3 linked regions of the Caenorhabditis elegans genome follow. The protein of the gene in region 3 purifies or fractionates together with the protein of the main gene of each other region. This does not show direct contact. Each region holds a gene or a part of one and is shown on either strand. Other genes may lie near its edges.

The links. The genes of interacting proteins can lie anywhere in the genome.
Region 1: the proteins of pgm-1 (region 3) and Y49E10.18 fractionate together in Caenorhabditis elegans (co-fractionation; one large-scale study listed by BioGRID). This does not show direct contact.
Region 2: the proteins of pgm-1 (region 3) and dhs-21 fractionate together in Caenorhabditis elegans (co-fractionation; one large-scale study listed by BioGRID). This does not show direct contact.

What each region holds. Positions count from the first base shown.
Region 1 is NC_003281.10:12,440,019-12,447,887, forward strand, and holds Y49E10.18 (Fungal lipase-type domain-containing protein), read right to left. Parts: upstream 6,089-7,869; 5' UTR 6,084-6,088; coding exon 5,986-6,083; intron 5,683-5,985; coding exon 5,628-5,682; intron 5,373-5,627; coding exon 5,251-5,372; intron 4,976-5,250; coding exon 4,796-4,975; intron 3,964-4,795; coding exon 3,574-3,963; intron 2,819-3,573; coding exon 2,656-2,818; 3' UTR 2,612-2,655; downstream 1-2,611. Other genes in the region: ani-1 (Anillin-like protein 1), read right to left, coding at 6,657-6,917, 6,969-7,340.
Region 2 is NC_003283.11:12,729,156-12,735,529, forward strand, and holds dhs-21 (L-xylulose reductase), read right to left. Parts: upstream 4,491-6,374; 5' UTR 4,407-4,490; coding exon 4,349-4,406; intron 3,516-4,348; coding exon 3,406-3,515; intron 3,355-3,405; coding exon 3,054-3,354; intron 3,009-3,053; coding exon 2,890-3,008; intron 2,845-2,889; coding exon 2,677-2,844; 3' UTR 2,612-2,676; downstream 1-2,611. Other genes in the region: mrpl-49 (Large ribosomal subunit protein mL49), read left to right, coding at 27-173; zfyv-19 (FYVE-type domain-containing protein), read left to right, coding at 366-425, 470-616, 674-850, 897-1,049, 1,445-1,713, 2,094-2,182, 2,279-2,568; xbx-9 (XK-related protein), read left to right, coding at 5,098-5,564, 5,651-5,798, 6,060-6,216, 6,271-6,374. UniProt on the Caenorhabditis elegans protein: Catalyzes the NADPH-dependent reduction of L-xylulose, D-xylulose, L-(+) erythrulose, D-erythrose, D-threose, L-ribulose, 1,4-dibromo-2,3-butanedione and 2,3-heptanedione.
Region 3 is NC_003280.10:4,885,780-4,893,790, forward strand, and holds pgm-1 (phosphoglucomutase (alpha-D-glucose-1,6-bisphosphate-dependent)), read left to right. Parts: upstream 1-3,657; 5' UTR 3,658-3,663; coding exon 3,664-3,909; intron 3,910-3,962; coding exon 3,963-4,243; intron 4,244-4,290; coding exon 4,291-5,176; intron 5,177-5,227; coding exon 5,228-5,521; 3' UTR 5,522-5,648; downstream 5,649-8,011. Other genes in the region: R05F9.7 (Serpentine Receptor, class E (Epsilon)), read left to right, coding at 497-833, 1,355-1,567, 1,817-1,878, 1,927-2,274, 2,319-2,432; gst-9 (putative glutathione S-transferase 9), read left to right, coding at 5,809-5,941, 7,219-7,706; msp-33 (Major sperm protein 33), read right to left, coding at 6,532-6,915.

The DNA.
Region 1 (7,869 bases), on a different chromosome or scaffold from region 3:
TAGGTTGACACTAGGTAGGCACGTAGGCATGGTGAGGATAGGCAGGTGGGAACGTCCAATTTTAGAAATAACTTTTAAATTTAAGTGAATCCGTGCCGTGATACTTTCTATTTTTTTGTGAGCACACAGTATTTTTTTCAGACTAAGTGCCTGTGGAGTGTCTCAAACTTTCAAGTCGATCATTGACGCGCAGTGCTCCAATATGACGGACTGTGCCGTGGTGTTGAGTAAAGGATTTGTGGAATTGATTATAAACGAAGCCTGGGTGAATTATCGAGAGTGGATCGACGAATCTTTTCAAGCCGGATGCCGTTTGAAGTACGAAGATCGAGAAATCATTCTACCGAACAAAACACCACTGGAGGTTGCTATGAAGGATTTATCAACGTTTATGCATGGTCGAGAGTTGAGCCTGGATAGTTTTATGGTGACCACCTGGGAAGAAGACATGGATTTATACGATCCTCTCATCTCTCTCCTTCATCAAATTGGAAGTGTTCCAGCCAAATATGTGATTATCGAAGGAGCAACTTCCGAGAAGACAGCCCAAATCCTCCAACATTTTGAGGCTGGAGTTTTGAAAAAGTTGCGAATCAGAGCTGATGTGGCCGATGCAGCTTCCATCCAACCTCTGGTGGCGCTCGATCAATGGAAATCAGTGGACAAACTTCATTTGACCTGTCACGCCAAACAATTCCAGTTCTTCGTCAAGCATCTCAAGCATCTCAAGGCAATGAAAGTCGACTTTTTTGGACACAATTTATCGAAGGGAGATATGATGAAATTTCGCGATGTAAGTTTCTTTAGAGTTTTCAATTGACCTATTCAAGTTTTCAGGAAGTTATCGTGAAATCGAGCCGTTTCAAAGTCTACAAGTTCAAGCGAGTTCACTACAGTTCGAAAGAGTTGCTGCAAGTGCTATGTCCGATGGAGTCTCCAATCGATTCATTTGGCAAGATCGACATTGAAACCGACAACGCTACATTTTCCATCGAGTTCGACGACGATTGGTTCCAGATCAAGAAATCTCTGGAATGATCTTTTGACTTGAACCTGTGATTTGTGAATGAAGGATTAGAACTCGAATTCTCTCAAATTTGAATATTCGTTTTTCCGTCAATAAAAAAACATGGGAAAGAATTGTAATGAGAAGTGGTTCATGTACGAATTCGGGGCTCAACCAGGTTATGCTTTGTGTTCGGCAGGGCGCATTTACACTGATTTGATTTTCAGCTAGAAGTTTCAACTTTCTGAAATTTAATTTCTGACAATTTACCAATTTGCCGGAAATTTCAATTCTGACAATTTGCCAATTTGCCGGAAATTTCAATTCCGGCAATTTGCCGATTTGCCGGAAAATTTCAATTCCGGCGATTTGCCGACTTGCCGAAAATTTAAATTAATTTAGAAAGTTGAACAAAATTCAAGTCCGGCAATTTGCCGATTTGCCGGAAATTTCCATTAATTTAGAAAGTTCAAAAAAATTCATGTCCGGCAATTTACCAATTTACCGGAAATTTCAAATCCGGCAATTTGCCAATTCTCCGCATATTTCAATTCCTGCAATTTGCCAATTTGCCGGAAATTTCAATTCCGGCAATTTGCCGATTTGCCGGAAATTTTCAATTCCGGCGATTTGCCGACTTGCCGAAAATTTAAATTAATTTAGAAAGTTGAACAAAATTCAAGTCCGGCAATTTGCCGATTTGCCGGAAATTTCCATTAATTTAGAAAGTTCAAGAAAATTCATGTCCGGCAATTTACCAATTTACCGGAAATTTCAAATCCGGCAATTTGCCAATTCTCCGCATATTTCAATTCCTGCAATTTGCCAATTTGCCGGAAATTTCAATTCCGGCAATTTGCCGATTTGCCGGAAATTCAAATTCCGGCAATTTGCCGATTTGCCGGAAAATTTCAATTCCGGCAATTTTCCAATTTGCCGGACTTTTCAATTTCAGCAGTTCGCCAATTTGCCGAAAGTTTTAATTCCGGCAAATTTCCGATTTACCGGACTTTTCAATTCCGGCAATTTGCCGATTTGCCGGAAATTTCAATGCCGGTAATTTTTCGATTTGCCGAAAGTTTTAATTCCGGCAATTTTCCGATTTGCCGAAAGTTTTAATTCCGGCAATTTTCCAATTTGCCGGACTTTTCAATTTCAGCAGTTCGCCAATTTGCCGAAAAATTTCAATGCCGGTAATTTTTCGATTTGCCGAAAGTTTTAATTCCGGCAATTTTCCGATTTGCCGAAAGTTTTAATTCCGGCAATTTTCCAATTTGCCGGACTTTTCAATTTCAGCAGTTCGCCAATTTGCCGAAAAATTTCAATTCCGGCAATTTGCCAATTTGCCGAAAAATTTCAATTCCGGCAATTTTCCAATTTGCCGGACTTTTCAATTTCAGCAGTTCGCCAATTCTCCGCATTTTTCAATTCCTGCAATTTGCCAATTTGCCGGAAATTTCAATTCCGACAATTTGCCGACTTGCCGGAAATTTTCATTAATTTAGAAAGTTCAAGAAAATTCAATTCCGGCAATTTGCCGATTTGCCGGAAAATTTCAATTCCGGCAATTTGCCTATACGAAAAACTGATAAATTGAACAGGAAACCCAATAAAAACTAATTTATAAATACATTTCATTCAGTTCATAATTACATTTTCGGGCAACCCTGTGATCCCCAATCAGGCATATTAATATCAAAATAGGTTAAGTGATCCGGTGGATAAGAGTCCAATTGTCGATTACTACAGTAGAGGCCATCTGCTTCCGCACAAATAAGATATGGGTCTGTGCTTGACATGTTGTTGTTGTACCTGAAAATATAAATTTTGCAATGTTTGTCTTACGGTATTGGGTCTCAACACGACCTTTTTTTTCTTTTTTTTTTTCTTCGATTTCACCAAAAATAGCCTTAAATTTGGCTTTTTTTAAATGAATTTTTGGTACTTTTTAAAAAAATTTATGGCTTTTTCGATATTATCTTTTTATTTTTTAATTTAAATTGTTTTTTAAAACTCAATTTCGACATAGAAAGCATCAAAATCAACAAAAAAAATTCTTGAAGAGTTTGAAAATACGGCAATATCTAACGAGACCCAAATTATGGGAGCTGGGCGCTTTAAATCGGCGTTGGAGCGCAATTGCACTTCAAACTCAAATTTTGCGTTTCCACATGTTAAAACAACAGGGAAATTGGAGCTACAGTACTCCTTAAAGGCGCACATAATTTTGCATATTAAAAAAAATCGGTCGTTTCGAGATCTGTGAATAAGGAGTAGCACCAGTAGAAACATGTTAAAAACTACTCCTATGGTGCAAAAATAACCAATTTTTCTGGCTTCCCTCATAAATTGTAATGGAAGAGTTTGTCGAACTAGGCCATTTCGGATTGGCCATACCTTGGGTAGATTTACGGCGCGTTGCGTGTCGCGTGGCGGCTTGTAAAACTAAATGTATTTGTCCGTGTGGAGTACACGACTTTCCCACGCGTTGTCCAGCTTGTCAATGGAGCGCGAAAAATGCAGTGAGGAAGGCCGGAACTTCGTGAATTTGAAGAAAAAAAACTAACCAAACTTCTGTTCTGTGATGGAAAAGCTCATCCTTTCCATATTGCGGAGGAATGTGTGGAACAATATCCCTATGATGAACAATTCGGAATGAATACGGAAAAGTCTTATCATGCCAAACAGCATAATCATAATCGCCGGTTCGCGGTTGTCCCATCGTAACAAGTTTCACTTGATCACCAGTATAAAGTCCTGAATGGACAACATAAGAAGCTGCAATCGATGCAATTGCTCCACCAAGTGAGTGCCCAGTAACCCATAATTCATACTCTGGATATTGGTATTTTAGTCGACGAATTTCTTGTTGAAGACCTCCATTCCAGAGGAAAAAGAATGCATCGTAGAAGTAGGTGAAAATGTGTCCGGCATCATTGAAAAATGGCTTTTTACCCCTGCAAAACTTCAACAAATTCACAAAGGGAAAAACACGATTTTTTAAAATTTTAGCTAAATTCTAAATTCCCCGACCAATCAGCATCTTTGAACTCTGCCCACTTGCTCTGATTGGTCCGAATGTGGGCGGAGCAAATCGCTGATTGGTTTTTTTTATTGATTTTAAGATTTTTTTTTGGTTTTTTTTACAGAATTTTTTTTTGTATGAAAAATGTTTGAAAAATTTTAATATGAAAAAATTTATGAAAAAACCGATTTTTCATATTTTTTTTCTATAAAACTCAGAAAATTTCAAAGAAACGGACGAAAATCTACGAAAAATCGATAAAAATTTTGAAATTTTGAACTACGGTACTTTTTAAAGGCGCACACATTTTAGCATTTTACAAAAAATTGTCGCGTCGAGACCGTGTATTGGGTTTTGGCGCAAAAATCTTAAAAACAGCTGGATTTAACCATTTTTACTCGAAATTTTAAAATTTTTCGACAAATTCTGAAAATGCGTATTGCACAACATATTTGACGCGCAAAATATCTCGTACCGAAAACTACAGTAATCCTTTAAATGAGTACTGTAGCGCATGTGTCGATTTACGGGCACAAAAGAATTAAAATCATTTATTTATCGATTGAATATTAAAATTAGGCAAAAAGTGAGAAAATAATACGAAGAAACGAATGAGAATGGCACTTCGCTGTAAATCGAAACAAGCGCTACAGTAGTCATTTAAAGGATTACTGTAGTTTTCTTTTCGCTACGAGATATTTTGCGCGTCAAATATGTTGTGCAATACGCAGAATTCCGTGTTCCCGTAATAAATTCAATCTCACGTAAAAAAGTCCAAAATCTCTTCAGTCAACTGTGTGGCTCCTTGAGTTCCCCGAAACGACATGACAACGACTTTTTGTGTTGTATCGAATGATGTGAAACCGAAACAATCGGTTTGTGGCCCAACTTCTGAGCAATTTACACTAAAAGTTTTGGATAGTGTCATTGTTGGCATTGAGTTTCTGGAAAAAAAACGCCGTTGGTAGTGTTTAAAAAAATGTTATTTTTTCAAAACACGGATTTCTGGCTTCCCTCATAAATTGAAATGGAAGAGTTTGCCGAACTAGGCTCGGCCATATCTGGGGTAGATTTACGGCGCGTTGCGTGTCGCGTCGCGTCGCGTTTCTAGTTGTAAAACTGAATCTATTGGTCCATATGGAGTTCGGCTGGTGATTGTCAACGGAGCGCGAAAAATTCAATGAGTAAGGCCAGAACCCCGTGTCAAAATTTTTCTCACTTGAAACATTTCTGTGGATTATTATTGAATGCGGCAGCAGTTGTCAATAAAATTTTTGTTCTCACAAATGTATCATCATACGCGTGTGCTTTATCAGGTAGTTCCGGGCAGTTTAGTGCTTTCTGGAAACGTTTATATTTGTAGAGTTTACAAAAAATCAGTTTATCAAATCGTGATTGATAAGATAACTTGTCCCATTACGATTTGTTATACAAAAAATGCGGGGTTTTTCGCCCAAAAAAATGTGACGTCAGCACGTTCTTAACAATGCGAAATCAGTTGAAAACTCTGCGTCTCTTCTCCCGCACTTTTCGGAGATCAAATCAAAATGGGGCTTTCTGGCACCACGTGAAATTGTGATTGATAAGATAACTTACAGAAATTGATGTTAAACATGGGGAGAATCCGCATTCGTTAACTGTTACACACCAGCTGAAATTCGAAAAAATTGTTACATGCCGGGCAAGCCATTTTGTGCCTACACCTTCTTACAAATTTGCCTCACTTTTCCGCTTATGTTTTATGCTATTATGGTGGGCAAAAAAAAAAGAATTATTTAAAATTGAGGTTCAAGCGCGCTCCACGGGCAAAACTTGGGTCTCGGTAGGTATTTGAATCTATTGAATCATTCGAATACCACTTAAAAATTGAAATTCCCGGTTTTGTCTCCAAAGACCTAACGAGACCCAACTTTTGGCGGTGGAGCGCATTTGCATTTCGATTTTAAACACTCACTGTTTCCCCGAAGCAATACAATCGGAGCACTTGCTTGACTCCACAAGCTGAGCGCCTAAAATCGTGAAGAATATCGAAAAATAGACTAGAAAATGCATCGATTCCTAAAGAAATAGGAAAACTGATAAGAAACCCGAATTTTATATAAATTCCGCTGGGCGGCGCACATGTGAAAGCTTATCAGTTGAAAGGAGCAAAAAATTGAGCACAGTTTAACATTTTTCGCAAAAAAAGTTGAACTTTTTATCTGTAATTACATGGCATATCTAGTTCGATTTAAAGTTATTTTTAACTTGAATATTTCCTTTTCTTTCCGTCTTCTTCATTCTATTCGGAACCACTGTTTTCTCACACTTTCACCAAATGTTTATTTTAACAAAAAAAAAACCGAAAATTAATTGTAAGAGTGTACGATGGTGAGGGGCACTGTGAAACTAAAATTTTCGAATAAATCGAAAAAGGCCCAAAAAGAGTGGAATAATGATAATGGGACAGTGATGTATTGATTAAAAAAGAAGGGAGTAAATTCTAGAAAAGAAGGAAGCTAAACATGGAGAGAGAGAGAGAAGTAACGAGAATAATAATAAAACATTTGATTATTTGTCAAAAAAAATCTGAGGGGAAAAACTGGGGGATACATACAGGCACAAAGCTTGCAAAAAAGGGGGGGACTACTGATTAACAATCGGATTTCTCCACGTGCACAACTGCTTCGACGTAGAATTGATCAGTGACAGCCATGTTTGAAGATCTTGAGCTGTATCGGCCGCCAGCATAACTCGAAGACGCTCAATGCCACGTGGATCCGATGTATCCATTTTTGGAGCCCAAACATCAATGTGGAAGCTATTCGGGAATGGGCAAATGTCTTCAACTACCGATGCACCTTCGGAACGGCAACACGTTGAAAGATCCATTAGTGCAGTGTAACCCTACAATAAAAAAAGTTTAATTTTAGACAAAAAAAATAAAAATTTAAAAACCTTAGTTCCCTCATCTTCTGGCTGCTTCCAAAACTTCATCTCTCCATTCTCAAGAGCACACCAGTATCTCGTCCACGATCCGAGCCCCTCGCCAGTTCTCTGATACATTGACAAGAATCCGTGATAAGTGATATCAGCTCCATCGATCGCCTGTTTGCGTACTTTCATCTGTGTAATACCTTCGAGCGGATATACAGTATGTGACATGTTGTACAAATGTTTTCCAGGGCAATTGATGTCGAACGAGAATGTTCCGAGCAAATTGAAGTTGGATGTGGTCGACGAAGTTGATGATGACGATGCTGCTGGATCGACGAATAGGCTCTGGTTTGCTGATGAAGTTGATCCGCCGCCCAGGAATGTGTTACGAGTCTAGAAATATTACTTATTTCCAGGTTCTATTGATATACACGTCTAATTAAAGGCGCACGGGTTTATTCAGAAGGGTCTCGGAGCGCATGATAACCTCATTTATTTTCCATTTTGCAATCAAATTGCTTGCGAGTATGTAGCGAAAAATTCGCTTAAAACAACGGCGCGCCGAGACCCATATGAATAAATCTGTGCGGCTTTAAGAACACGGCCCGAGAAGTGGTACCTGTACGCAATTTGTCTACCGTATACCTGGACGTTTGGGCGCGTGTATCTCAAAAACAGTTGTCCAGTTTTTTTGTGATGCATATAAAAAATGCCCGATATTAAATTCTACATTTTTTGGACCAAAGCTTTTTTCGTTATCACGCGCCCAAACCTGGTCTACACTCAAATTATCAGTAGAGCGCATTTGCATGGATGTACCACTTGCCGGAACGTGAAGAAGATGAAGTTATGATACATTATTAACAGAAAACAGAAGAACAAGACATTTGACAATAACAAACAAACAAACAAACAGACATAC
Region 2 (6,374 bases), on a different chromosome or scaffold from region 3:
CCTGAATCAACATAAATATCTTTCAGGCTTGCGAAAATGATCTCCGCTCCTATCTTGAAGAACATCTTGGACATTCGATCGCCAGTCACGTCGATGAGTTGAAAGGTCGTATCAAAATTAAAGGAGCTCCACGTGTTCTTATTGAGCAATTCTTCTACAGCAAAGGATTCTAGATGTATTCTTGATATATCTTTTAGTTTTTTATCTAGGCAGATTTGTTTTGTTGTGAATTTATTGTTGGAGAATGAACTAGAAAAATTCAATTGTCTACTTTATCATTTTTACCTTCAAACCGGTTATTTCACCGTCATTTCCTTATTCTCTTCATTTTGTATCATTGCGAAATGCCGAAATTCTTCTCTAGAATGCCTTCCTCAATTTGTTGCACAAACTGCAGAACTAAATATTCATTATTAAACAGAGAAGTTATTTTCTGGCATCAAAAACTAATTAATTTCTATTTTTTCAGGCCGGCTGCTCGAATTGTGCTCTCTCCTTCTGTAAGAAATGTCTGCCTCATCGTGCAATTATTCCCACACTTTCGGATTTACCAATGATTGTCTGTAACAATTGCTATCAAAAATTGGAATCTGCCAAAATGAAGCCCAGCGCGACTGTAAGAAAAAGAACAAAGTAAAAACTAAATAGATATTAATCCCACGATTTTTTTCAGATAACATCAACGCCTCTACCAGATAATTCGAATAAATCGAATAAAAATTGGTGGGGTGATGGACTTCCACCGCCATCATTCAGGAATTCGCACACAAATCAAAATCAGATTAAAAATAGTGAAGTCAAAGCAACTAAATTCAGGAATTCGCCAGAAATTCCATCGCAGCAGACCAAGGTAATTAGCGTCACGGAATTTTCTTAATTTATTTTTCAGTTTTCAGCCAAATTATCCGACCAATGACCTGGAACAGCGAAGACTTAAACTGCGAGAAGATATTTCACCACAAATTGAACCACTCAGTATATCAGAAATTGAAGAACGATTAGCAAAACTTCGAGAATGTGATGTAGAAGTGATACGTAATCCTCAAAGTGTAAGTTGGACAAGGATGTTTTTAATTAAAAATGTGTCTTAAATATAGAAAATTACTTGATTCATCTGAAAATATAATTTTTTCAGTTGAAAATTTAAAAAAAAGTGTTTAAAATGACCTTAAAGTTACAAATTGCAGATAATCAAATTAAAGAGCTCTGTTTTCGGCAATTAACAACTTTCAGACCGTTTTCGTGAATTTTCTCAAGCGTTTCAACTGAAATACATGTTATTTTCTTTCAAACAAAATAGTTTTCTATATTTTGACACTAATTTTTATTGTAAGATTTTAGAAAAACATTGGCCAGTAGGTCGTTTTGTAGAGTTTCCGAAAATAATTGCCGTCCACCTCAGAAGTTGATTTTTTACGCCTAAATACCATTTTTAACATTTCAGTGGCTAAAGTCTTCTTCCAAGGAACCTGCGATGAACGCCAATAATCCATCTGAATTAATGCGAGTAGCTGAAGATCGTGCAAGAATTGAAAAAAAAGAAGAGGAAATGGAACATAAAGACTGGGATGAGCTTGAAGCAAGACGTAGGAAAATATTTGAAGATGAAAAAGAAAAAAATAGAGAAGATGATGCTTCAATACGAGAATCAATGGTTTCTGCAAACACAGAGTTTAGTGAAGCAACGAAAGAAGAAATGAATGAGATTAATAAGTGAGTTGGTGAATTTTTTATTTGAAATTAAACTGAAATACAGTTTTTTTTGAGAATTACAATACTTTTCAATAAAATTCAGTCAGCAAGCTGTAGAACTGGGACCGAAAAATTCGAACCAAAAAAAATCAAACAAAATTTTTTTTGGATTCGAAAATTGGAACTTTTTACAAAAACTGAAAACCACAGTTTGCTAAAGAACATTTGTAAAATATGAAAAGTGTTTAAAATATAGAAAATTAGTTTTTTGGTGTTTTGTCACAAAAACCAAAAAAAAAAACAAATTTTCGTCGAAATATTACAAAAATAAACAAACCCCAAAAAAGTACTAACCCTGCTGTAGACTTTTAAAGTTTTACGCATATTCAATAGTATTCCAGTATTCTTCAAGACGCAGAACAACGTGTAGCTGAAACCAAGAAGCAAGAAGAACATGATGCCGCTGAACTCAGAACTCTCATGAAATCTAGTAAGTTTAAAACGAAAATTTGAATATTTCTTCAACACAGTCTTTTACAAACCTTTTTACTGCCAGCTTAATTTCTTAATTTTGCTACAATTTCAGCTCGTCAGAAGTCTCTTGACGCTATTCAATGGAATGATAAGATCACGAAAGAAATTGGTGGATTTTGGGATCGAAGAAACGAAAAATTATCTGTAGATGAAGATGAAGATGAAGACGAGAAGTCCTTAGACGAAGAGACTTTCAAAAAGATTCTTCACGAAGCCGAAAATTCAGAAGATCTGCCTCCTCAAACTTCGGAATCAAACAAGGCGTCAACACCGAGCAACTCGAGCTCACCGAAGAAAAAGGGATTATTTGAAAAGTTGTTCAGAAAAGATTCAAAACAATAGTAAATATTATTTATCTTTTTTCTATGTATGTTAAATTACGAGCTTCTTGTAAATAAATGTATTTATTGTTCACCTATATACATCGTCTCAATCTTAAAATTAAAAACTTTAGTTATTCGAAAATCCTCCATCGACAGGCAAAGTGGATCCAGTAGTCATTGAAGCATTGTCTGAAAGAAGGAAAAGGACAGCATTCACAACTTCGTCAACCTCAGCAAAACGTTTGATCGGCATTCTGTCGAGCATCTTCTTCTTCTTATCAGGATCACTCCAGTTCTAAAAAGTCTAATTATGCTCTCTTTTCAATTTGAAAATTATTACATCTCTTCCCATATCAGTCATCACAACAGTTGGATTGACACTATTAACTCGAATATTCTGGGATCCCAATTCATTTGCAAGACATCTTGTGACCATATCAAGAGCAGCTTTTGATGCACCTGAACTTTCAGATGTACATTATTTCAGTAAAGTTTTAAACTAACAATAAACAGTGTGATTATCCAATGGACGAATGGCTGCTTGTGATGAAATATTAACAATTGATCCTTTGATTTGTCTATCCACAAAGTTTCTAGCAACTAATTGTGCAATGAGAATAGGTCCCCTTACGTTGACTGCAAATGTTCTATCAATTGATTGTTGAGTAATTTGTCCAATTGCATGATTTGTTGCAATTCCAGCATTATTTACAAGACCATGAATTGGGAAATGTGGTACGATAAGTTTGAAAAGGACCTCTTCATTGGCACTCACATCTCCAACAATTGGAATTATTGTATATCTCTGAAATATTAATTTAATCAGATTGGTGTAATATTTTATATTTTCACTTACCAAAGAAGTAGTCTCTTTGACAAGACTCAACAAATTTGCTTCATTTCTCGCGAATGCAATAACCTGCGCTCCAGCTTTGGCCAACGAAAGGCAGATTTCTTTTCCAATTCCTGCAAATGTGATAAATTGTGATGTATGATTCACAATCACCCCATCGGAAGTCTTCATGAACGATTTTTATTCTATTTTTAGCTTTGTTCGCGTAATATATTTTTTACCGACTAGGAAGGATGTACTCTTGTTTTCAATGCCAGAAATTTCCTCAAACATAATCGTAAAATAATTATAATTTTCAAACGGAATGATAAAATGTTGATGATACAACAAATTTTTGATTAAAGATTATAGTGTTATCATATTATCGTATATCAACGTTTTCCTCTCCATTTGAACTAGATCATAATTACACCGGAAGTAATCAGAGAGACCATCGGTCTTTTATCACATTGGCCTAAATTTGAAATGTTAAATTAATATGGATTAAACATTTTGAAAACTTAAAAAGTACAAATCTTCATGAGATTTCAGAAAACTGATTCAGTGGCTCCAAATGTTTAATGGTTTTTTTTAATTGAGCAGATAATTTTTAACATTTCCTTACTTCAAACTACAAATAAACTTATACTAGACCAGGGAAAACCTGGTCAACTTCAATTCAAACCTTGCAAACATATCTAAACTCAAAACATAGAACAATCGTCGGAAAAGAGATTTGACGTTTTCCGTGAAGTTTTCAACTATAGGTCAAAAGTTGGGCAATAAGTTGGCACCAACTCCGAGTGGTACAAAAACTTATCTCAACATAACTTTCTGTCTAAATATCAAGTCTATTTCCTGTAGTGAGCTATCTCAATTTCATATTTGTTAAATGGAACCCAAAACAAGTGTATTTGGTTTGTATTGAAACAACCCATCTTAACTTTTTCAACATCTCAAGACTTACCTTGACTTGCTCCTGTGACAAGTATACGTTTGTCAGTGAAATCGTAATTGGCGGGCATTGTTTCGTCAGATGATATGAATATCAGAAAATGTGTAGTATCTACCCCATTCTACCCAACACGATCAACTTTTATATTGTGACTATTTTTGTTATCAATGCCATTCCTCTAACAATCTGCGTCCAATTGTGTATTGATGATCGTCATAATGGTTTCTATTTCGAGATCGACAGGGAAAACCCTTTCATTTTGCAAAGTATGTAACAATGAAACTATTGAGCACCGAAACAATGTACACAATTTTCTTTAAAACGCTCGTTTCAAAAAATAGTATATCATAAGCAGCAAAATCGAGTACTTTGTTTTTGCTGCTTATGATATATATTAGAGGATGAGTTCAAGAGCAAAAATGATCCCAAAAGTTCAAAGACTTGCAAAATATCATACTTTCCTGGTAGTTTCAGGTACCATCAAACGTATATGTCCCACTTAACATTAAGCTCAACCTTCCGTAAAAAGTTTGTTTTGGCTAGCTTCGTTAGTGTCTCCGTCTTAATTTTTTTTACATCAACAACCAATTTCAATATCACAAGATCTGCGTCCAAGAACAGCTGAAACTTCGTGACGAGTAACCATAGCAACATGGCATTTCACCTGTTCAATCTAGCCACTCAACTCGCCACATTTCTTATTCTCAATCTCAGCTTCAATAAAATCCCAACTATTGAAGTGATATAAAGATCGTGTAACCATGTCGACGGACATGGACCCAGTCCCGGGTCTTCCTTTACTTACCACTCTTTTTTGTAATTCAACAACTGTGAAGAAAAAAGTGAAGATAAGCTGTGATTTTCCTGATGAACTCTACACAAAGAAAGCATTTTACGGAGGACCAATTGGAGCTGGACTCTCCGCAATTGAAGTTTCAATCATCGCAGTTTTCTTTCTGCTTTCTTTGAAAATGAAGCGTGATATCACGAAGGTCTTTCTGACTATTGTCTACATTCCACTTGGACTGTCATCTCTGTTCAAGATTGCACTGGCTATCTACAGTATCATGCTTGGAGCTTATGGATGGTGGTACATGGTTTTTCTGATGTTCTTCAACTGGTTTTACACTACAGCAGTCCTCACTACATCCATTGGATCTGTGATTTTTCTCTCGGCGTTGATTGTAATTGCAAGGAAAAGACAAAACTTTAATCCTTGTGATTCATGGTAAGAAAATGGTTAGAATGACACAGCAAAAATCTTGAATAACATTTTTTGTTAAATGAATAGTTGATGCCTCCGATATTTTCCAGGACATCTTACTTTGCTGTGCTCTTCTTTGCTGCTATACTCTCTGGTTCATATCATTTCATCGCATCCCAATGGAACCCACTTCCTGCTTCTGCACTGTTTTTTACCTACCTTTTGTGCACAGTGGGAATCATTGCCGAGCTTCTAGTGGTAATCTATTTTTGATCTCTAAAGGTGGACATCAGTGCCCAGTTATACATTAGTGAGGTATTAAACAAAGTGTGAAAAAATCCAAAGAATAGTAGAAAATTTAACCGAAGCCAACAAGTGGTGTGATCCTATTTAAAGATCGTTTTCAGTGTAATTGTTTTGCACTTTACTTCTACACCCCTACACATATCTATTGACAGTAATTCAACAATTCCACCTTCAAATGAAATTTAAATATAGAAAATCAAAAATGTTTTCCAGTGCTTGTGTGTTGGATTAATGTGCAAACCAAAACCAGCAGCCGGAACAAACATGGCAGTTCTGACTGGTGATCCAGTTGTCGATGATGCACGTAGCCGTCTTGGTTTTGGAGCAGCTGCTGTAATTGTAATGAATATTCCTCAATGGTTTGAGTTTTGTAAGTTTTTGCAACTGAATTGAATTTTAATTGGTTTTATCGTATTCTTTTCAGATGTGAAAATCGCCGAACTTTTCGCGCCATACCTTTGGAACTCGGACGATGAAAAAACTGTATACTACACTGCACTGGCAATTCAACTTCTGACATTTGACACT
Region 3 (8,011 bases):
ACTATATAGAGAAAACCTATTAGCCTAGAGCTGTCTTTTCCGTTTCTTTTGGTAACCCCATTTTTCTGAAGTTAACTATTCAAATATTTAAAAGTATCTGTGCAACACTTAGTAAAAAAATACTAGGGCATCTTGAATTTTAACGAATAAAAAAGGTTTTCAAAGTTAAAAAATTACTGATATTCTAATGAATACATTTTGATTTTATATGTTCTATTTGTATTGACCAACACTGCAACTAATGTGCTAACACTTCCTGTTCTCTGAGTTTTTTTTTCATAACTCACGCCTCCATGTCACCGCTGTTTTGGCGAACATTCTTTAAAATTCGATTACAAGTGATCATTCGTTTCTATAGATATTCACATCAAACTTTATAATCTAAAAGCGTTTTCTGAACCCGATCAATTACTCCACCTGCATATATAATTTCATGCTTACTCTTACTACTCCTTATTTTTAGAAAACATTTTCCTTATTTTGAGTTAAAGATAAAATGCACATTATCCAGGAATTTCTTGCCAAAATTCTCTCACTACTTGCTGAGCCAATTCCATTGGTGGAGGGCCAATGGCTCAATATCACATTTGATGTGCCAATTTTAGTGGATATAAATGCTCCATTGACGCCAACACTACAGTTTATTTATGCATCTGAAAGTATTTTGATTTGTGTTGGAATGTTTCTAATGGTTTATTTCAATTATTTTGTGAAAAGTTTCCAAATTGTACATTTGAATTTACAATATCTATTTTTGCTCTTCACGACTTTATATATTTTTGGAAGTCTGGCCAGATTCTACATGATTTTGGTTCAATTAAAGTTTGTCACAGGTTTGTAAAAAAACTTTCGTCTCATATGCTTTCTGGTAAGATTTAACTTGTTCTGAAAGAGGTTTACACTTATTTGACTGAAAAACGACAAGATAAACATTGGCAAATCACACATTTTCTGAAAAATCTGAAATTTCCAAAATTTATAATAGTTACATTTTAAAATGGAATTTTGAAAACACGACTCATATCATTGGTGTTAGCGATGTATGTTGAACATTCTTCAAGTCATGTTGTATGGAGCTGCCATAACATGTTCCAAATGAATGAGCTGGTGGAAGTTGGGTAACATTTTCACAAAATAATAAAATCAAAAGTTGAAAAAATATGTGTATACTTGTGGGGATTGTAAATGTGACTGAAATTGTAGATTTTTCAGATTTTCTTTGCACGCAAATTTAAAATTCAATCAGAAATTCAGTCGTTCCAGTAATTTTTAAATGGTAAAAATTGTCCAACGCCATATATGTTTTTTTTTCAAATTTTAAACTTATATGACTCGGTAGCTCAATATTTTTCAGATCTCGACACGCCGTATCTCCTCGTAGCGGGAATATTGAGAATGGAACATTATGGAGTTAGTTTAAGTGCAATTTTAGTAGTAACTATTGAACGAGCATTTGCAACTTATTATGTGGTCGATTATGAAACGAAGCACAGATGTTGGGTTGCTGCATTTTGTGCTTTGGTCAGCCTAACCTATACTCAATGTTTTGTGATTCCCATTTGTTTCTGTAAGTTTTATTCTCTTACAGTTTTTGTGCCTACGTGCCTGCCTGCGTCCTTGGAAAAACTTGGAAAAAAACACAAGAAAATTTGCAGAACACACAACTTTCCAAAAGGGGTTTTTTGGGATTTTCTATTTTCAAAAAAGCAGCAAAATAACCTAATTTTAAAAACAAAAAAGGGGTAGGTATAGGCACTGGCAGGCATATACTCTTTTCACAATTCACATTCTTAACATCAAAAATAGTTATTTTCAGTTGAAGCTTCTTTGTTGTATATTATTCTATTCGCATCACTATGGGCAGTTTTCTCAAACATTGTAAGAAGCACAATGCCCATTTTTCAAAATAATTTCTTCATTTTTTAGGTTTTAATGTGCCTTTACTATTATAATGTACAAGAATCCAAGAGATTATCATGGAAAGCTGAGAATCTTCGGAAAATGAAAAATGTAAATTATACATTGAGCAAGAAGTTTCAAGTTGAAGAAAATGTGAAAATTATTAAATATCTGCAAGTTATGAGCTCCATGTTGGTTTTTCTCATATTTTTTGTTATTATATTTATTGTAGTTCCTAGAGTATATCTGGGTTCAAAAACATATTCGGGTCAAGTTATGATTTCACTTTTTGATATTAATTTGGCACTTGGTGCAATTCTAATTCCTTCCGTTTGCGTTTTACATTTACGGAAAACTAGAGATATGCCATTTTCTGTAGGTTTTTATCAATTTTTCAGATTTTCATTATATATTTTCAGGGGAAAATCCATTGTTTGAATAAGAGACGCGATGACCGTCAGGTGAACCCGATTACTGTATTTGAAGACGTTACAAAATCATATTTCGATCAATTTCAAACATCTTGGCGATGATTCATATGATTTTTGGAAATATTACTTTGAAGTTTTGTTATAAAATGTTACATTAGAAACATTTGTGTTTTTTAAACATGTTTTATTCTTCAGTGATTCTTCCAGCACAAAACAAAAACAGCACAAAGTCCGTTGTTTTATTTTTAGTGAGAGCGTCACTTTGTTTTTATAAATAATTTAGATTCTTTTATTCATATAATTTTTGGGTAAAAAACTGTTTTTGGTTTTTTGAAAAATTTCATTAAAGTGAAACATTAACCACGGTAGAATTAAAGGCGCAGCATGAATAAGTTTTCGTGTGCTCCGCAACGATTTTAACTACCTTAACCTACAATCGGAATTCGTTTAAAAAACAAAAAGCGAGTCATTTTGTTTCAATAAAAAGTTGAGTTTTTCTTAAATACTTATCAATATTTTCTCCAAATTTCATTCGGTTACTATCAAAAAAAAGTTTTTTATTAATTACGGTCGGTTTAAAGGCACAGAAGGAAAAAAGTGTTTGTCAGTATCGCAGCGATTTTAATTACCGCATACCATTATTGAAATTTTGTTTGAAAAAAACAAATTACTCGAAATGCGCGCGCGGTATTCACCATTTGTATCGTTCTTTTTCCCGAAATTTCGTTGTTTTTGTGTTCGACACAATATATTCAATAGTTTGTAGCGATGAAAACCTTGATAAGCAATAGGGGGCGTCTCGAATTTTCGAAAGAGAGTATAAAGAAGATAAATTTTTTTTCGCTCATTGATTTCTTTTCATTTTTCTTTATCTTTTTTGATGAACAGCAGCAGTTGTTCCATTTCTACACGTATTTTGTTGCTCTCTATTTCTCTGAACTCTCTGTTTGTGTGGGTGCTCTCCTTTGGCGCCAACAACTGCAGCTGGCATTTCTTTTCTTTTTTCGCTGCGAAATCTGAACTATTCCTGCCCACCCACCAGAAGATAAATAAATTCTTCGTGTTCTTAACATGTCTGTCTACCTGGACTTTAAAAACCCCATTTAAAAGTTGCATTTGAGGTCAAAAGTTATCCCAGAAGAGTTCGAGCACATTTTAGGTCGGCCCATTTCTAAAGTTATTCATTTTTCTATGTTTACTATCACTGAACATTGACCAACCACTTGACTTTCGTGATAAGATACGAAGCGATCATTTTCTGTTTACTATTTTCTCTTTTCTCATAGTCAGTCCATTTTATTTTCTGATCTATAATATTTATTTTCAGCCTAAAATGGGAATCGCCGTCGTTGAAACCCCCACAAAACCATTCGCAGGACAGAAACCCGGAACATCTGGTCTTCGCAAACGGGTTCCGGAATTCCAGCAGCAGAATTACACGGAAAACTTTGTTCAAGCAATTTTGGATGCTGGTCTTGGATCGAAAAAGAAGGGTTCTCAGTTGGTTGTTGGTGGAGATGGACGGTTTCTTTCGATGGAAGCCACAAATGTGATTATTAAAATTGCAGCAGCCAATGGGGTAAGAAATATTGAGAAATTTTAGTAATTTTTTTATAAATTTGAGTTTTTCAGCTTTCCCGTCTTATCGTCGGTCAAAACGGTTTCTTGTCGACGCCAGCTCTCTCGAATCTTATCAGAAAAGGACACGAAGGTCGTGTTGTTGATGGAGGAATAATTCTCACTGCTAGTCACAATCCAGGAGGTCCAAAGGGAGATTTTGGAATCAAATTCAACTGCGAAAATGGTGGACCTGCTCCAGATCAAGTCACTGATGCCATTTATCAGATCACAACTAAAATCGATAAATACTTGATTGCCAAGGATTTAGAATGCGATTTTACACAAGTTGGAAGGTAAACACATCAATATTTTGATTACATTGATGTACATTAATTTTCAGATATGAATATGATATTGAGGGAGTTGGTCACTTTGTCGTTGACGTCATTGATTCAGTTACCGAATACATCAACCTCATGCAGAAAATCTTTGATTTCCCAAAAATCAAATCCCTTCTCGCTGGTGAACTTACTGGACGCAAACTCAGAGTTTTACTTGATTCGATGCACGGAGCAACTGGACCATACATCTCTACAATTCTTGTCGATCATCTTGGAGCTGATCCTTCTGATCTTTTGAGAACTGTTCCAAAGCCAGATTTCGGTGGAGGTCATCCAGATCCAAATCTCACCTACGCAAAAACTCTTGTTGAACGCCTCCACACCGGAGAACACGATTTAGGAGCTGCATTTGATGGAGATGGTGATCGTAATATGATTCTTGGAAAGAATGGCTTCTTCGTTTGCCCCAGTGATTCTTTAGCTGTTATTGCTGATAACATTGATTATATTCCATATTTCAAGACTCGTAAGGTTGCTGGTTTTGCTCGTTCAATGCCAACTGCTGGAGCTGTTGATTTGGTTGCCAAGGCAAAGGGACTTCAAGTGTATGAGACACCGACCGGTTGGAAGTACTTTGGAAATCTTATGGATGCTGGAAGAATTGCTATTTGTGGAGAAGAATCATTCGGAACTGGATCTGATCACATTCGTGAGAAGGATGGCGTTTGGGCACTTCTTGCATGGCTTCAAATTCTCGCAGACCGAAAAGAATCCGTCGAGGAAATTGTGACGAAGCATTGGCAGAAATATGGAAGAAATGTGTTCACTCGTTACGACTATGAGAATGTGGATGCAGCTGGTGCCAACTTGTTGATGACTTTCCTTGAAGCTCAATTGCCAGCATTTGTTGGAAGAGATTTCTCGGCAAATGGGGTTACATATAAGGTGAGAGAAAGTTCGAAAAGATTTATTTTTTCTAAAAAATACTATTTCCAGGTTGCTGTCGCTGACAATTTCCAATATACTGATCCAGTGGATGGTTCAGTTGCAACCAAACAAGGACTCCGAATTGTCTTCGAAGATGGATCTCGATTGGTATTCCGACTCTCTGGAACAGGATCTGCCGGTGCTACCATCCGTCTCTACGTTGATTCGTACATTCCTTCAAATGACACTTCTCGCCTTCTACTTCCAGCTCACGAATTGCTCAAACCATTGGTGTTGATTGCACTTGATACTTGCAAAATGGAGCAGTTCACTAATCGCAAGGCTCCAACTGTTATCACATAATTTTAGTATTTAAAAATGATTTATATATTGCATGAGTTTAGCTAAATAATTATGTGTAGATTTTCCTCGGTTTATATAATTTTATGTTGCACGTAAACGAAAAGTTGAATGAAAATTTGAAAACTTATGAGAATATTGTGAAATACATCAATGTTGGTTTTTGGAAAAAAAAGTTGATGTTTGTGGTTTTCTGATGTCGATTTAGTGAGAAATGAGAAACGCAGACACTGAGAGCGAAGGGTTCAAAAGCGCCAGATTGTGACGAATTCTTCATTTTATTCTGAAAAATGGTTTCCTATAAACTAATTTATTTTCAATCTCGTGGAAATGGAGAAATCGCTCGTCAAGTTTTCGCTTTTGCCGGCCAAGAATTTATTGATGAGCGTATTTCTAAAGAGCAGTGGGCAGAAATTAAAAATAGTAAGTTCAAAAGTTGCATTTTAGAATGAAATCCTCAGTTTAAAAAGTTGATTAATTACAATGTAGCGAAATGCTTCAGTTTTTAAGTGGTATCCCGCCACGAACAAAATATCCTCACATAAAGATTAAGGTGTGCCTTTAAGCAGTACAGTAACCCATTTTACAATTTTATTCGATTTTTCCACATTATTAAATAAATTCAATTCGATTTTCTACTGAAAAAAATCGAAAATATAACAATTCAAATATATATTTATTATTGGGGATTTTGGCAGATACTGCAGAAATTTAAAAAACTTTGCAATGCAAAAAAAAAATCAAAAATTCCAGGCTTCTTTTGGAATCATTTTGGCAGAACCTGCAGAAATATTAAAGTTCGGTTTTTTTAAAGAGATGATCGAAGAAACATTGTAGTGTCGAGCCAGCTGATCTAGAGGAAAATGCTCAAACGAGGAGTGGAAAGGAAGCTCTTTTTTCGAGCATGACAATATTATCTCGTTTGAAAATCTCTGAAAATATGTTCAAGTAAAAAAAAACAAAAAACGAGCTATCAATGAAAGTTTATTGAAGTTTTGGAAAGTTCACAAATCCTATGGGTTGTACTCGATTGGGAGGTTCTTACGACGAACCATACCGTCTCCTTGGAACCATTCCCGACGGAATTGCTTAGCAGCACCATCCGGAGTGTTGGTCCACTCAACAGTGATACGATCGTTGTTAGTGTCCTCCTGTCCAAAGGCGAAGGCATCGCAGGAAACTGCCAGAAAAACAGCTTCCTTTGGGTCCAGAACTCCACATGGTGGATCAACTCCAAGTCTCTTCATATTGGTGGTCTTGATACCGTATCCAATACGGCGAGCAGATGAGTTGATCACCTTGATGTGGTAGGTGTGCTTGTCGTCGTACGGGGCATTGAACACGATCTTCGTACCCGGCTGGGTCTGGATATCTCCTGGTGGGACGGATTGGGCCATGGCGACTTCTTTGTAGAGTGAGAAAACTCACAGTGAAGATTATGACAAAACCTTCTCTATTTATGCAAATCCTTATCACTGTCCTAGATCTTTACGTCACATAATGTTCGAAAAGTTGAATGAACTTTTGAAAATTCGTGAAACTTTTATTCAAATCTTCAAAAGAATATCGAAAAATAGGAGATCACTTGAAAATTTTTTTTTATTCAACAATTTCAAAAATTATCAAAAATCATTCTTTAAACGAACAAAAAATCCTGTGCTCAGAAACATAAATATTTCTTATCTTAATATAATTTTCAGTGACCCCATTTGGACAAGTTCCAGTTCTAGAAGTTGATGGAAGACAACTGGCACAATCGATTACAATTGTTCGGTATCTATCAAAACAATTTGGAATTTCTGGAAAATCATCATGGGAAGAAGCTCAAGTTGATGCTCTCGGTGACCAATTCAAGGATTATCGTGTTGAAGCACGGCCATTCTTTAGGGCCAAAATGGGATTTTCCGATGGAGATGTAGATCAACTTTACAAAGATTTATTCGTTCCGGCTTTCAATAAAATGTACTCAATTTTCACTGAATCTTTGAAATCCAGTGGAAGTGGTTTCCTTGTTGGAGATTCTTTAACTTGGATGGATTTGGCCATTGCTCAACATTCAGCTGATCTCTTGGAAGCAGATGGAAAAATTCTTGATACATTCTTGGAGATGAAAGATCATCAGAAGAAAATTCATAGTATTCCAAATGTTAAAAAATGGATTGAAAAAAGACCAGTTACATCTAGATAAATTATAGAACTATTTATTTTAGTGTTCATTTTTATCTACCTCGTAAAATATACCAAGCTATCAAACAATAAATAAACCATTATATAATAGCAACATCTTTGATTTGAAACTACACGGTCTGAAAAGTTATTTCATTGATTTATGTACAATTAAAACGGATAGGAAATCAATAGGTAATCGTGCCTAAATCATGCCTATTTCTGTGGTCTCATTTTTGAGCAGTAGGCACATAACTCTTGGGAAACGATGAGAGATCTGATCTGACTATATAGTGGGAACTTCTCTCTTCTAACCTTGTGAGTGGG